Sus scrofa: one gene and its partners. The protein of the gene in region 1 purifies or fractionates together with the protein of each later gene. This does not show direct contact. Links are inferred from orthologs where the notes say so. Each region holds a gene or a part of one and is shown on either strand. Other genes may lie near its edges. The genes, in order: NUP160, NUP133 and NUP43.

Region 1 (3,649 bases):
AATACATTTTAAATTCATATCTTTTGTGTGTGTGTGTGTGTGTGTGTGTGTGTGTTTAGGGCCACTCCTTTGGCATATGGAGGTTCCCAGGCTAGGGGTGGAATCAGTTGTAGCTGCCAGCCTATGCCACAGCCACAGCAATGCCAGATCCAAGCCGTGTCTGCGACCTACACCACAGCTCACAGCAACACCAGATCCTTGACCTGCTGAGTGAGGCCAGGGATTGAACCTGCAACCTCATGGTTCCTAGTCAGATTCGTTTCCGCTGCACCACGATGGGAACTCTAATTCATATCATCTTTGATGTTAAAGCAGCCCTAAGGCTGATTAATGATAAACACACTCAACAAAACTCTTCTATAAATTCTCAATGAATAATATTATTTCCAGTCTGAAATTTAGATTCAAATTATCTGGAAAAAACCTTTGTTAAAGTTAAGTTTAGGAGTTCCCGTCGTGGCTCAGTGGTTAATAAATCCGACGAGGAACCATGAGGTTGTGGGTTCGATCCCTAGCCTTGCTCAGTGGGTTAGGGATCTGGCGTTGCCGTGAGCTGTGGTGTAGGTTGCAGACTCAGCTTGGATCCGGAGTTGCTGTGGCTCTGGCATAGGCCGGCAGCTACAGCTCTGATTCAACCCCAGGCCTGGGAACCTCCATATGCCGCAGGAGCGGCCTAAGAAATAGCAAAAAGACAAAAAAAAAAAAAAAAAGTTAAGTTTAACATTTGAAGTTCTGAATATTTTCCTGAGAGTTTAAGAGCTTGGGTCTGTAGTTAACTAGATCTGGATTTTTTTTGGCCATGGGAGGATCCCTCCAGGGATCAAACCTGTGCCACAGCAGTGACAACAACAATGGATCTTTAACCCGCTAAGCCTCCAGGGAACTTCAACACCTGGAGTTTTAATTTATCTTTTGTGTGAGCCTTGGCAACTTGACCTCTGAGTCCCTTTTTCCTCATGGGCAACAACAACAAAAAGAACAGTCCCTTATAGGCTGTTATAAGGATTAAGTGAGAAAATACAGACTCAGCCCAGTCTTCAGCACACACAAAATACCATTTTGTTCTTACTTCCCTCACTCTTCCAAATACTACCTAAAACCACATTCCTTTAAAGGAGAAAAATGAGATGTATTTCCCTTTGATAAGCAGGAAACTGGAAATACTTAGAGTGCCAGTCCCTGCTCTTGGAGAAAACTAGTTGTGTAACTACCCTCAGTAAAGGTTAAACCTATTATTCTACAGTTCAATTTACTTTCATATCCTGACTTGACTCAGTGTGATAATACAGAATACATACAGGTATTCGAGCCTACCTCAATTCCAAAGTACTGATGTCCTTTTCCCAAGACAGCATCCACATATTCAGACACCAAGTCCACAGCTTCTTCTAAAAGGTCGTAGTTTAAGTATAGACGGAGCAACTCAGCTGCATCAACCTTCTGCAAAAAGTCAGTGATTAAGAACATTTACTTTTTTCCATCCTACCTGGGCACCGACCAAAGGATGCTGTCTGATTCCCTGGCATTTATACTTTTCACGATAAGTAAACAAGTGCCTTGGTTTACTTATCTTGGGATGAAGGTTGGATTCCCAAGAGCCAGTTACCTCTAGGCACCTCGTAAGCCCCTTTCTGTTAAGTGGCCTTACTACCTGTCTGGATCTAAGACACATTTTAATTCTTTCCTATTTCAGCTTCCATAGTAGTAAAAAGTCAACGACCCTTCCCCAAATGCTGAGTACAGGAGATAACATATTCACATTAATTCTCAGCAATATATGAATGACAAATGCAAAAGAAGTTAAAGGAATCACCAACTTGAAATGCTTGAATTATATTTGTACTTAACTCAGGGTGAGAGGAAAGGAAAGTGACCACGGCCTTAGTTTGGAACAGCTCTCCTAATTAATGTCAGTTATGCTTTCCATATTCTGATTCGATCACAGTCTTAACCTCTACCATCTTAGTTGCTTTCTCTACTTTCAAACTCAAAAAACAACAGAATTTTTTGATTGTAAGCTTTATATTATTTTCCTATTGTGCCCAGTATATTTCAGATATAGTAGTTCTCACACTTAGTCACAGATCAAATCAAATTAGGATCTTGTTAAGATATAGATTGTGGATCCTAATGCCAGATAATTTGATTCTATAAGTCTGAGATGAAGCCTAGGCATCTATATTTTGAAGAAGCCCACCACCCAAATAATTTTTCTTTCTTTCTTTTTTGCTTTTTAGGGCCACAACCAAAGCATACTGGAAGTTCCCAGGCTAGGGGTTGAATCGGACCTACAGCTGCTGGCCTATGCCACAGCCACAGCAACGACAGATCCAAGCCCTGTCTGCCACCTACACCACAGCTCACGGCAATGCCAGATCTTTAACCCACCGAGCAAGGGATTGAACCCGAATCCTCATGGATACTAGTTGGGTTCGTTAACGCTGAGCCACAATGGGAACTCCCACCCAAATAATTTTGATATGGGTGGCCCAAGAAACTAATTTTGAAAAAAAAATTGAAACACACTATTGTAGTAACTACTCCACCCAATCCTGTGAATTTTTTGAGTAATGAAAAGCAAATGCTAGAGTTCCCGTTGTGGCTCAGTGGTTAACGAATCCGACTAGGAACTATGAGGTTGTGGGTTCGATCCCTGGCCTTGCTCAGTGGGTTAAGGATCTGGTTTTGCTGTGAGCTGTGGTGTAGGTCGAAGATGTGGTTTGGATCCCGAGTTGCTGTGGCTCTGGCGCAGACCAGCGGCTATAGCTCCGATTAGACCCCTAGGCTGGGAAACTCCATATGCCGAGGGTTCGGCCCCAGAAGAGAAAAAAAAAAGGAAATGCTGTGTCACACAGATCGAATTGTTCTAAATGCATGCTTGTGGTTCAGTAAGCACACAAGCCTGCATTAACATAATCAACCCAGAGAACTTTAAACACCCAGTACTTCACCGGGACTGAGGCAAAGTGCTCTTAGTGTTTTTAGCTAAGATTGAGGTATTAAGAACATAAGTCAGTATGTGTCCATAAATTATCATTCTGTCTTTTCCTTTTTAATCATCTCATAAAGTTATTCAGGATGATAAAGACCAGGTTCTCACTCTCTACAAGTTAAGAGAACACTTACCTTGTAACTGTTTATAAGCCAATTAGGCAGAGGCACTCCATGAGACAAGAGCTTGTTAATGACACAGTGGTGATATAAATTATTCTGGACTTTGTATCTTTCCAGGTAAGTTGATAAGAGTCGCCATGCTTCATCTGTAGCACTTGATAAAAGCAGAAAGGACTAATGAGTTCCAGATTCTTAATGAACAATGATAATACCATTCAAAGAATGTATTTAAAAGGAGAGCATTTTTAGAAGCTCACAACTGAACTGATAATCTAGCTAACTGACAGATAGTATTAGGGCCAATGTGACTGAGGAGTGGTACTCGAAACTAAATGACTTGGATTCTTGTGTTTTTTAACTGAAGCATACAATTCATTTAATGTCTTTGTTCCAGATTTCTAAAATAATAAGGAAATCGGCTCAGATCAGTTTCTAAACCTGAACAAGCAATCATACGGAAATTCTCATTTAGAAGACTAGAGTGTTATCTTATAAACTGTATTTTAATAATAATTTTTTAAAGATTTCTAGGGCC
Region 2 (3,649 bases), on another chromosome or scaffold:
GTTTCCAGTTTTATGCAATTATAAGTAAAGCCACTAGAAACTTTTGCACACTGATTTTTTTGTGTGAACACATGTTTTTATTTCTCTTGGGTAAACTTCTAGGAGTGGGTTTGCTAGGTTACATGGTAAGTGCATATTTAACTGTAAGAAATTGCTAGGCTGTTTTCTGAAGAGGCAGTAGATCTTTCTTTTTCACTGATTAGTGATGGACTTCTGATTTTGGCTGCGGCATGGCACCTAGCAGACAATCCATGTCTCGTCTATTACTCTCTGATAGCAGTGGAAGATAATGGCTACCAAATGTCAGATGCAGTAACTGTAGAAGTCACTCAGTATAATCCACCTTTTCAGGTAAGATATCTGTCTGTAAGTTTTTTTTTGTTTTTGGTTTTTGTCTTTTTAGGGCTGCACCTGCATCATATGGAGGTTCCCAGGCTAGGGGTCGAATCAGAGCTCTAGCTGCCAGCCTATGCCACAGTCACAGCAACACCAGATCCAAGCTGTGTCTTCAGCATACACAACAGCTCATATCAGTGCTGGATCCTTTAACCCACTGAGTGAGGCCAGGGATTGAAGCTGCGTCCTTACAGATGCTAGCCAGATTCTTTTCCACTGAGCCACGATGGGACCTCCCTGTCTGTAAGTGAAATTACACAGTGACAATAACATACTGAGTTATTTTTCCTAACTGTTGCAGGGCCAGATTCTTTGAGAAATTCATCTGCTGGCTCGGAAATACATTTTAAATTGCTAGTTTGGGGGCATTGGATCCTGTCTGCCGTGTTAAACACATTCCTTTCCCTTGGATTAGCTAAAGAGAAGTGGGAGTGGAGCGCCTGGCAGCAAGTGTGTTTCTCCTGCTCCCACTCTGTGAAGGGATTCTTGTTTCTTTATCACTGAGTAGAAAGAAAATGCTGACCATGAACTGCAGAGTGAAAAATAAGGAAGGAACCTGATAGGAATTGGGCTTTGGTTTCACCCCTGCAAATTAAAGGGAAAAAAAAAAACAAACAATTTTTGCTCAGAGATTATATTGGAGGCAAGTACATTAAATACTCATCAAAGTTCATGTAAACAATTAGAAGGTAAGCTCTCTAATTTTAAGCTTCTTAATGGCAATTGAACATTGTTTAATAACTATGATGTTCGTAAGGAGAGGTCTTAATGCTGTAAATTCATTTCTTTTTTTTTTTTTTTTTTTTTTTTTTTTTTTTGTGGCTGATCCCATTGTGCCACGGCAGGAGCTCCTAAATATTCATTTCATTAAACTTTGTATAGTATCTAATTCTGCAGCTCCAATTTGACCCCTAGCCTGGAAACTTCCATATGCTGCAGGTACAGCCCTAAAAAGAAAAAAAGAATAAGAATTCTGCAGAATTAGGAGTTCCCATTATGGTGCATCGGAAATGAATCCGACTAGGAACCATGATGTTGTGGCTTCAAACCCTGGCCTCACTCAGTGGGTTAAGGATCTGGCGTTGCCGTGAGCTGTGGTGTAGGTCACCGACTCGGCTCGAATCCTGTGTTACTGTGGCTGTGGTGTAGGCCAGCAGCTGTAGCTTCTATATGACCAGCCTGGGAACCTCCATATGCCATGGGTGTGGCCCTACAAAGCCAAAAAAACAAAACAAAACACACCAAAAAACCTGCGGAACCAGAGTTAAATGAAGTGGATTTATAGGATTTCCTGCTGTGGCACAATGGGATCAGCAGCATTTCTACAGCTCCAGGAGGCAGGTTTAATCCCTGGCCTGGCCCAGTGGGTTAAAGGATCTAGTGATGCTGCAGCTGTGGCTCAGATGTGATCCCTGGCCTGGGAACTCCGTATGGAATTGGAGCTGCAGCTGCCAGCCTATACCACAGCCATGGCAACATAGGATCTGAGCCACATCTGTGACCTACACCGCAGCTCACGGCAACTGCCAGACCCTTAACCCGCTCAGCAAGGCCAGGGACCGAACCCACAACCTCATGGTTCCTAGTCGGATTCATTAACCACTGTGCCACGGTGGGAACTCCTTTTTTTTTTTTTTTTTTCTTTTTTGTCTTTTTGCAATTTCTTGGGCTGCTCCTTTGGCATATGGAGGTTCCCAGGCTAGGGGTCGAATCGGAGCTGTAGCTGCTGGCCTACACCAGAGGCACAGCAACACGGGGTCCGAGCCGCATCTGCAACCTACACCATAGCTCACGGCAACGCCAGATCCTTAACCCACTGAGCAAGGCCAGGGACCGAACCCGCAACCTCATGGTTCTTAGTTGGATTCGCTAACCACTGGGCCCCGACTGGAACTCCTAGTCAGATTCATTTCTGCTAAGCCACAAAGGGAACTTCACTAGTCAGTTTCTTAACCTGCTGCTCCACAACAGCAAATCCAGAAATTTTGTTCTTAATATGACTCTCATGGCTGAATGCTATAAGGAAGTAAGTCTTTTTATTTGGCCATTTATATGAAACAAATAAACCTTATGTGCTCTGACTATATAAGCGAAATATGCTCAGTGTTAAAATTTTTCAGGCAAAGGGTATAAAGAAAATGTGAGAATTAAAAAATTATGGGATTCTGCTTTTAATGTTTTGTTTGTAAAAAAATTTTTTTTTTTTTTTTGTCTTTTTGGGGTTGCAACTGCGGCCTATGGAAGTTCCCAAGCTAGGGGTTGAATTGGACTGTAGCTGCCTACCTACACCACAACCACAGTAATACCAGATCCGAGCTGTGTCTGCAGCCTACACCACAGCTCACAGCAACACTGGATCCTTAACCCACTGAGTGAGGCCAGGGATCAAACCTGTGTCCTCATGGATACTAGTTGGGTTTGTTACTGCTGAGCCACAACAGGAACTCATGTAAAAAATTTTTTAATAACAGTATATTCTTTTTAGCTTTTGTCATTTTTATTATTCAGTCAGGTCTTATTTCTATTTCAAATTTCATATGTGAATAAATTAACTCAGTGTTCTTGTGCTTGATATCTAGACAGTGAGGAAAGAAACAAAATGTTTATCAGGAGTTGTTTATAAGTATTTGTCAATTCTAAAATAAATAATGAACTAATTCTTTATTTTCTTTCTCACATTTGCTGTAGGCTTTTAGTTAAAGTCTTATCACCTTGGAAATGTTTTCAAAATTTGCTAATTATTTGCAACTCAGCAAATGATTTCTCTAATTGATGTTCGTAAACTTATTCTGTTTTATAAGTCATCTTATACTTAGTGTTTAGGTTTTCACAAGGATAATTAGTGAATATTACCATTTTTGTGAGATGGTAGATGAATTATAAGATCATACAAACAAGTATTTTTGTTTCAATTCTCATTAAATCTTTAATTTTCAGTCTGAAGACTTGATTACGTGTCGGTTGATGGTCCCAGACTTTTCAAACCAGACAGCCTATCTGTATAGTGAAAACTCTGTCTATGTGTGCTCCACGGGAACTGGGAAGTTTTCTCTTCCTCGGGAGAAAATTGTCTTTAACACACAAGGTATGGTAGCAGTTTGAGGAACCAGGATTAGTGAACTCATTAGGCATTCCAAGCAGTCTTTGTTCTCTTTCCCTAAGTGTTCCTTCAGGCATGATACCCCTAAGTGTTACTGCCACATTCAGTACCACGTCTGCAGTCGCGAATGTTGCAGCTCAACTGAAAAACCAG
Region 3 (4,389 bases), on another chromosome or scaffold:
AAAAAAAAAAAAAAAGGAAAAAGAAAAAGAAAGTCAAATGACTAATATTAAGTACTAACCATTTGCCAGACAACGCTATTGATTTCTCTCATTAATCTTAGTATTCCCACATATATTTAATTGACATTTACGAAAAAAGGAAAGATTATTAAGTTCTCTGAGAGAACTCAAATACGTTTTTTAAAAAGTCTCAGCCCTCAAGGAGGTTACAAATCGAATTAGGAAACATGACAAACACATGAAAAGCTAAATAATCTATAATATATTATATATATATACATGCATATAATTAAAAATACCACGTGGCAGGATGTGATTATTTGCAAAGTCAGGGGCAAAGAAGTGGGCTACAAATCTGACCAGAGTGAGAGAGTATTACGAACTCTGGTCTTTCTGGTCTCCCGACCAGACGGCGACACTATATTTCGATTTAAAAAAAGAAAGTGACACAGCACTCGTCACCCTAAAATTATCATCAGAGAAAGGAATACAATAACTAAAGAGAATGGTGTAAAGAAACTTCCATACAAAGCTTCTAAAGCATACAGTAGCCCTGGAAAAAGTTAGAACATTCCACATATACAATCCTTTGCTGGATCCCAGTATCTCTAACGGCTCCTGAAATACATGTCTCTCGGGAAGAGCATCCCCTGATGATTTCTTCCTCCGCCCCCCACGAAGCTTTCCCTTGGACAGCCGCCCCAGAAATTTCTCCCAGCATCCGCAATGACAATACTCTCATCTTCCTCTCCCTCCCCTCGCCAGTATCAGACGGTGGCATCTCCCTCCAGAGGAAAAATCAGAGGGCGGGGGAGGCAGAATAGGAGAGAAAGCTTGCAGCTAGGTCGATTACGACAGAGCAGGAGGTGAGAAGACGCGGGGGTCGAGGGCGGGGTCCCCTCAGTTCCAGCCCAGTCTCCAGGAAACCTGGCCAACATCCCACTCCTCAGGACACGCCCCTCGCCGGACCCCGATCAGGGGGGGACGGACTCGAGTGACAGCCCCACCACCTGTGCCTCGCCCCTTCCCCCAGGCCCGCGGGGAGACGCCTGTCCCTACCCCACCAGCAGCGGCCCCTGGGTCTTTCTCTCCGGTTCCCGTCCACGTCCCCGAAGAGTGACAGGTCCCAGGGGAGGCAATCGCAAGCGCTTGCCATTTGGGACCGCTGGTGCAACCCTGCGCCTAAGCCCTCCAACAGGCACGGGGAGGAGGATAGGGACAGAACGTTCCGGGCGGCCCAGGGGGACCTGGTCCAGGCCTGGCCTTCCCCACTTGCCCCACACCGGGCGGGGGTGGCACTTACTGCGGAGGTTGTGGATTAGCTCCGAGTGGCTGGCGCCGCCGGATTTCCAGGCCATCGCTAGGCACACCCGGAGCAGGTACAGAACCACCTTCAGCGCGGCGACGGTGCCCAGCAGCTTCCCCAAGAGTGAGACCACCTCCCACACGGTCACCGCCCCGCTCGCGTCCCCGCTGTGGCCGCCGCTGTGACTGCCGTCGCCGCTGCTGCCGCCACTGCGCGCTCCCGGCATGCCCCGCGGCACGCATGCGCCTTGTGACGCCGCGCGGCCTCGGGTGCGGCCGGGGTGGGGCCGGAGGCGGGGATGGCTTGGTGCCCAGCCGCCCGCGTTAGGTCCCGTTGCGGCTGCCCGGGACTGGCGGGATGGCCCGGCTGAGTCAGCGCCACCGCCTCTGCTGCGTGGCCTTTCTGATGCCGCGGGCTGCGCAACGCCTCTTTGCTGGGTTTGCCCTGCGGCCAGGCGGGCGGGGTGGGCCCCGGCGTGGTCGGTGTCGCGTGCCTCACTACAGCTCTGGTCACCCAGCGCGGTGAAAGGATGGTAGGGCCGATCTGGTTCCGCAGCTGCCGGTGGCTCTGCAGTCGCCGCTGGGTCAGCTGCTGCAAGCGGCGGGGCTGCTCCTATAGCTGTCCAGGTTGTTAGACGGTGGGCTTTCTCCGTCCTGCCTCGCCCAACCCAATGAATGACTAATACATAGGTCAGTTAGATCCAGAGCTCCCTATGGTGGAGCTTGAATAACTGTAATAGAACTGGAAGGAAAAGGTCCTCTCTAACCCAAGTACTCCAGCCTTTGACTTGTGATAAGTAAGTTAGCGTTTGTGAGCAGAGACTTTGGGATCCTAGTTTGTTCTCAGCTGTAGAGCTTGAATTAGAAGAGTGGAAGAATACTGAGACATGGCGTGGGGGGTGGACTGTGGGGAATGCTGTGCTTCTCAGAACTTGTTAAAAATACTACAGTATCCTATGGCAAATGTGTTGTTCTCCCAACACAAGTGTGCATTTTCAGCTATTTAAGCCTCACAAATTCCACCGTTAGACTGGACACCAGCTTTCTTGCTATTAGCTGTGCAAGAGAATGAGTGAAAAGCTGACAAGGAACATTGCCTGTAGCATCCAACTCACTGACTTATAGTCAGAACCGAGAGTGGAAAAATCCAGTCATCATATCACTTAATACAATAAACTTTTAAGGAAGGAAATAAAGCTATGTCAAAACATCAGTGCCACTGTGTCAGCAACAATTTTCAAGCTTCTCACCAGTCCTTGGCAAATGTGACACTTATCTAACCCTAATCTGAAATATGTATTATTTCTTGGGATTCTGCAACAGTAAAGAAAAGTGTACTTCAATACTGGGGGCAAATTTTCAGTTCGGGACTCTAAATTTTCTATTTCATTATTAATTTCTTAATAATCTTGCAGTTAAAAGCAAAACACCAGTCAGTTTTCAATAAGAACCTGATAACTGTCTCCAAAGCTGACCTAGATGGATTGCATTTCCATGCGATGCTTCCACAAACTGGCTGTGAAATAGGACTACCAAGATCAGATAGACACAAAATCATGGCCCCATTTAAAGAAATAACCAACACAGTTATAGCTATAGTATAAAGGAGGTTTGTTTGGTTTTTTTTAAGATGAATATGTCCTATCTTTTGTAATAATAGGATTTACCTTCTAATTGGGGAGGTTTACATTTTTAAAAAAAGCTAGCAACAGGAAGCAAAATGTAAGTGCTCTTAGTGGTCTAGATATTAAGGGATATATTTATTTAGATCGTCTTGGGCTGAAGTAATAGGAAAAAAAAACTAGAGGAAGGAATTAATCCTTGAAAGATAGGGAAGATTCTGAGGCAGAAAGGAATTTTTTTTTAAGGGCGGAGGTAAGCAGTCGACGTTACATTTCAAAATCATCTTTAATTATATGCATAAATGAATTGAGGAAGGCTACAAAGGCAATGAGAGTCAAAATTATAACTGGGGTCTTCAGAATTCCAACTCGTTTGATAGTGTGTATTAAAAACCTTGAAGAGAAGGATTTGTTTGGGGGACAGGGAGAGAGAGGCTTTGAATAATAAATTGGTACGTTAATGGATGTACTTCCATGAGAATATAAGGATTTTGAATCTTTTCTATGCACGGTGAAATTCAAGACTTAATACTTAGGTGTGGCTATTAGAGCTTTTCTCTCGTTGACTCTTTTGCTTTTTGCTTTTTAATTTGTTATGCATTGCACAGTTACTGCAGAAATGCACCGCGTCACTGTTCACATGCTGACTTTGCAGGTTTGGAGCAGATCCTACAGCACGGGGACGGGCACACTCTTGCCTCTGTTCAGAGCCGCCTGGCTGAGGAAGAGCGTCCCAACTTCTTCCCACTTAGGGGCTGCTGGTTCTTTCCCCGCACTGGAGACGGAGGAAAATTGGCCCTCTGTAGCCACCGTCCTCTTGAGGTCCGGTCCAATCAAGGCTTAGCGGAAAGGGGCGGGACTGAGTGGCGCGCGCTGTGCTTCTACCTCTGCTTCTGCCTCTACCTCCCCCGGGTTGCTTTCAGCATGGAGGAAATTTATGCCAAGTTTGTGTCACAGAAAATCAGCAAGACCCGCTGGCGACCGCTATCTTCGGGGAGCCTGCAGACGGCGGAGACCTTCGCCACGGGCTCTTGGGACAATGAGGTACCCCTACTCCCGGGCCCCTGCCTCCTCTCTCCCTCCTAGAACTGCACCCCCGGCTGCCAGCGCGCGAACTCTCTCCGATTCTAGCTTCTCTCGCCCTTCTCTGTCCCCTGAATGCCTGTCTCATGCTCGGTTGCCCAGTATCTCAAAGCCATCGATGGTGTGTGTGTCTGAGTCTCGAATCTCGTTGTGTTTTCAAGGATTATCATCCCATTTGCCTAAAACGATTTTAAAACAAGGTTGATTGAAGGCAATGAAAATTTTAATTTCAGCGAGTTTGACGTGTATTTCGTCTTTGCTTTACAGGAAAATTATGTTTCACTGTGGTCTATTGGAGATTTGGGGAACGTGGACTCTGATGGAGGATTTGAAGGAGACCATCAGTTATTGTGTGACATCAGACACCATGGTGATGTAA

Evidence for each region.
Region 2: the proteins of NUP160 (region 1) and NUP133 purify together in Homo sapiens (co-immunoprecipitation; 4 studies listed by BioGRID and IntAct, with this or other methods). This does not show direct contact. The link is inferred for Sus scrofa from reciprocal best matches to the Homo sapiens genes NUP160 and NUP133.
Region 3: the proteins of NUP160 (region 1) and NUP43 purify together in Homo sapiens (affinity purification with mass spectrometry; 5 studies listed by BioGRID and IntAct, counting the BioPlex papers as one, with this or other methods). This does not show direct contact. The link is inferred for Sus scrofa from reciprocal best matches to the Homo sapiens genes NUP160 and NUP43.

Annotation. Positions count from the first base shown.
Region 1 is NC_010444.4:14,885,037-14,888,685, reverse strand, and holds part of NUP160 (nuclear pore complex protein Nup160), read right to left. Parts: intron 3,269-3,649; coding exon 3,127-3,268; intron 1,441-3,126; coding exon 1,315-1,440; intron 1-1,314. UniProt on the Homo sapiens protein: Functions as a component of the nuclear pore complex (NPC). Involved in poly(A)+ RNA transport.
Region 2 is NC_010456.5:60,366,796-60,370,444, forward strand, and holds part of NUP133 (nuclear pore complex protein Nup133), read left to right. Parts: intron 1-203; coding exon 204-351; intron 352-3,333; coding exon 3,334-3,481; intron 3,482-3,649. UniProt on the Homo sapiens protein: Involved in poly(A)+ RNA transport. Involved in nephrogenesis.
Region 3 is NC_010443.5:16,247,989-16,252,377, forward strand, and holds the start of NUP43 (nucleoporin Nup43), read left to right. Parts: upstream 1-1,530; coding exon 1,531-1,743; exon of another isoform or gene 1,744-3,851; coding exon of another isoform or gene 3,852-3,884; coding exon 3,885-3,971; intron 3,972-4,277; coding exon 4,278-4,389. Other genes in the region: PCMT1 (protein-L-isoaspartate(D-aspartate) O-methyltransferase), read right to left, coding at 1,304-1,532. UniProt on the Homo sapiens protein: Component of the Nup107-160 subcomplex of the nuclear pore complex (NPC). The Nup107-160 subcomplex is required for the assembly of a functional NPC.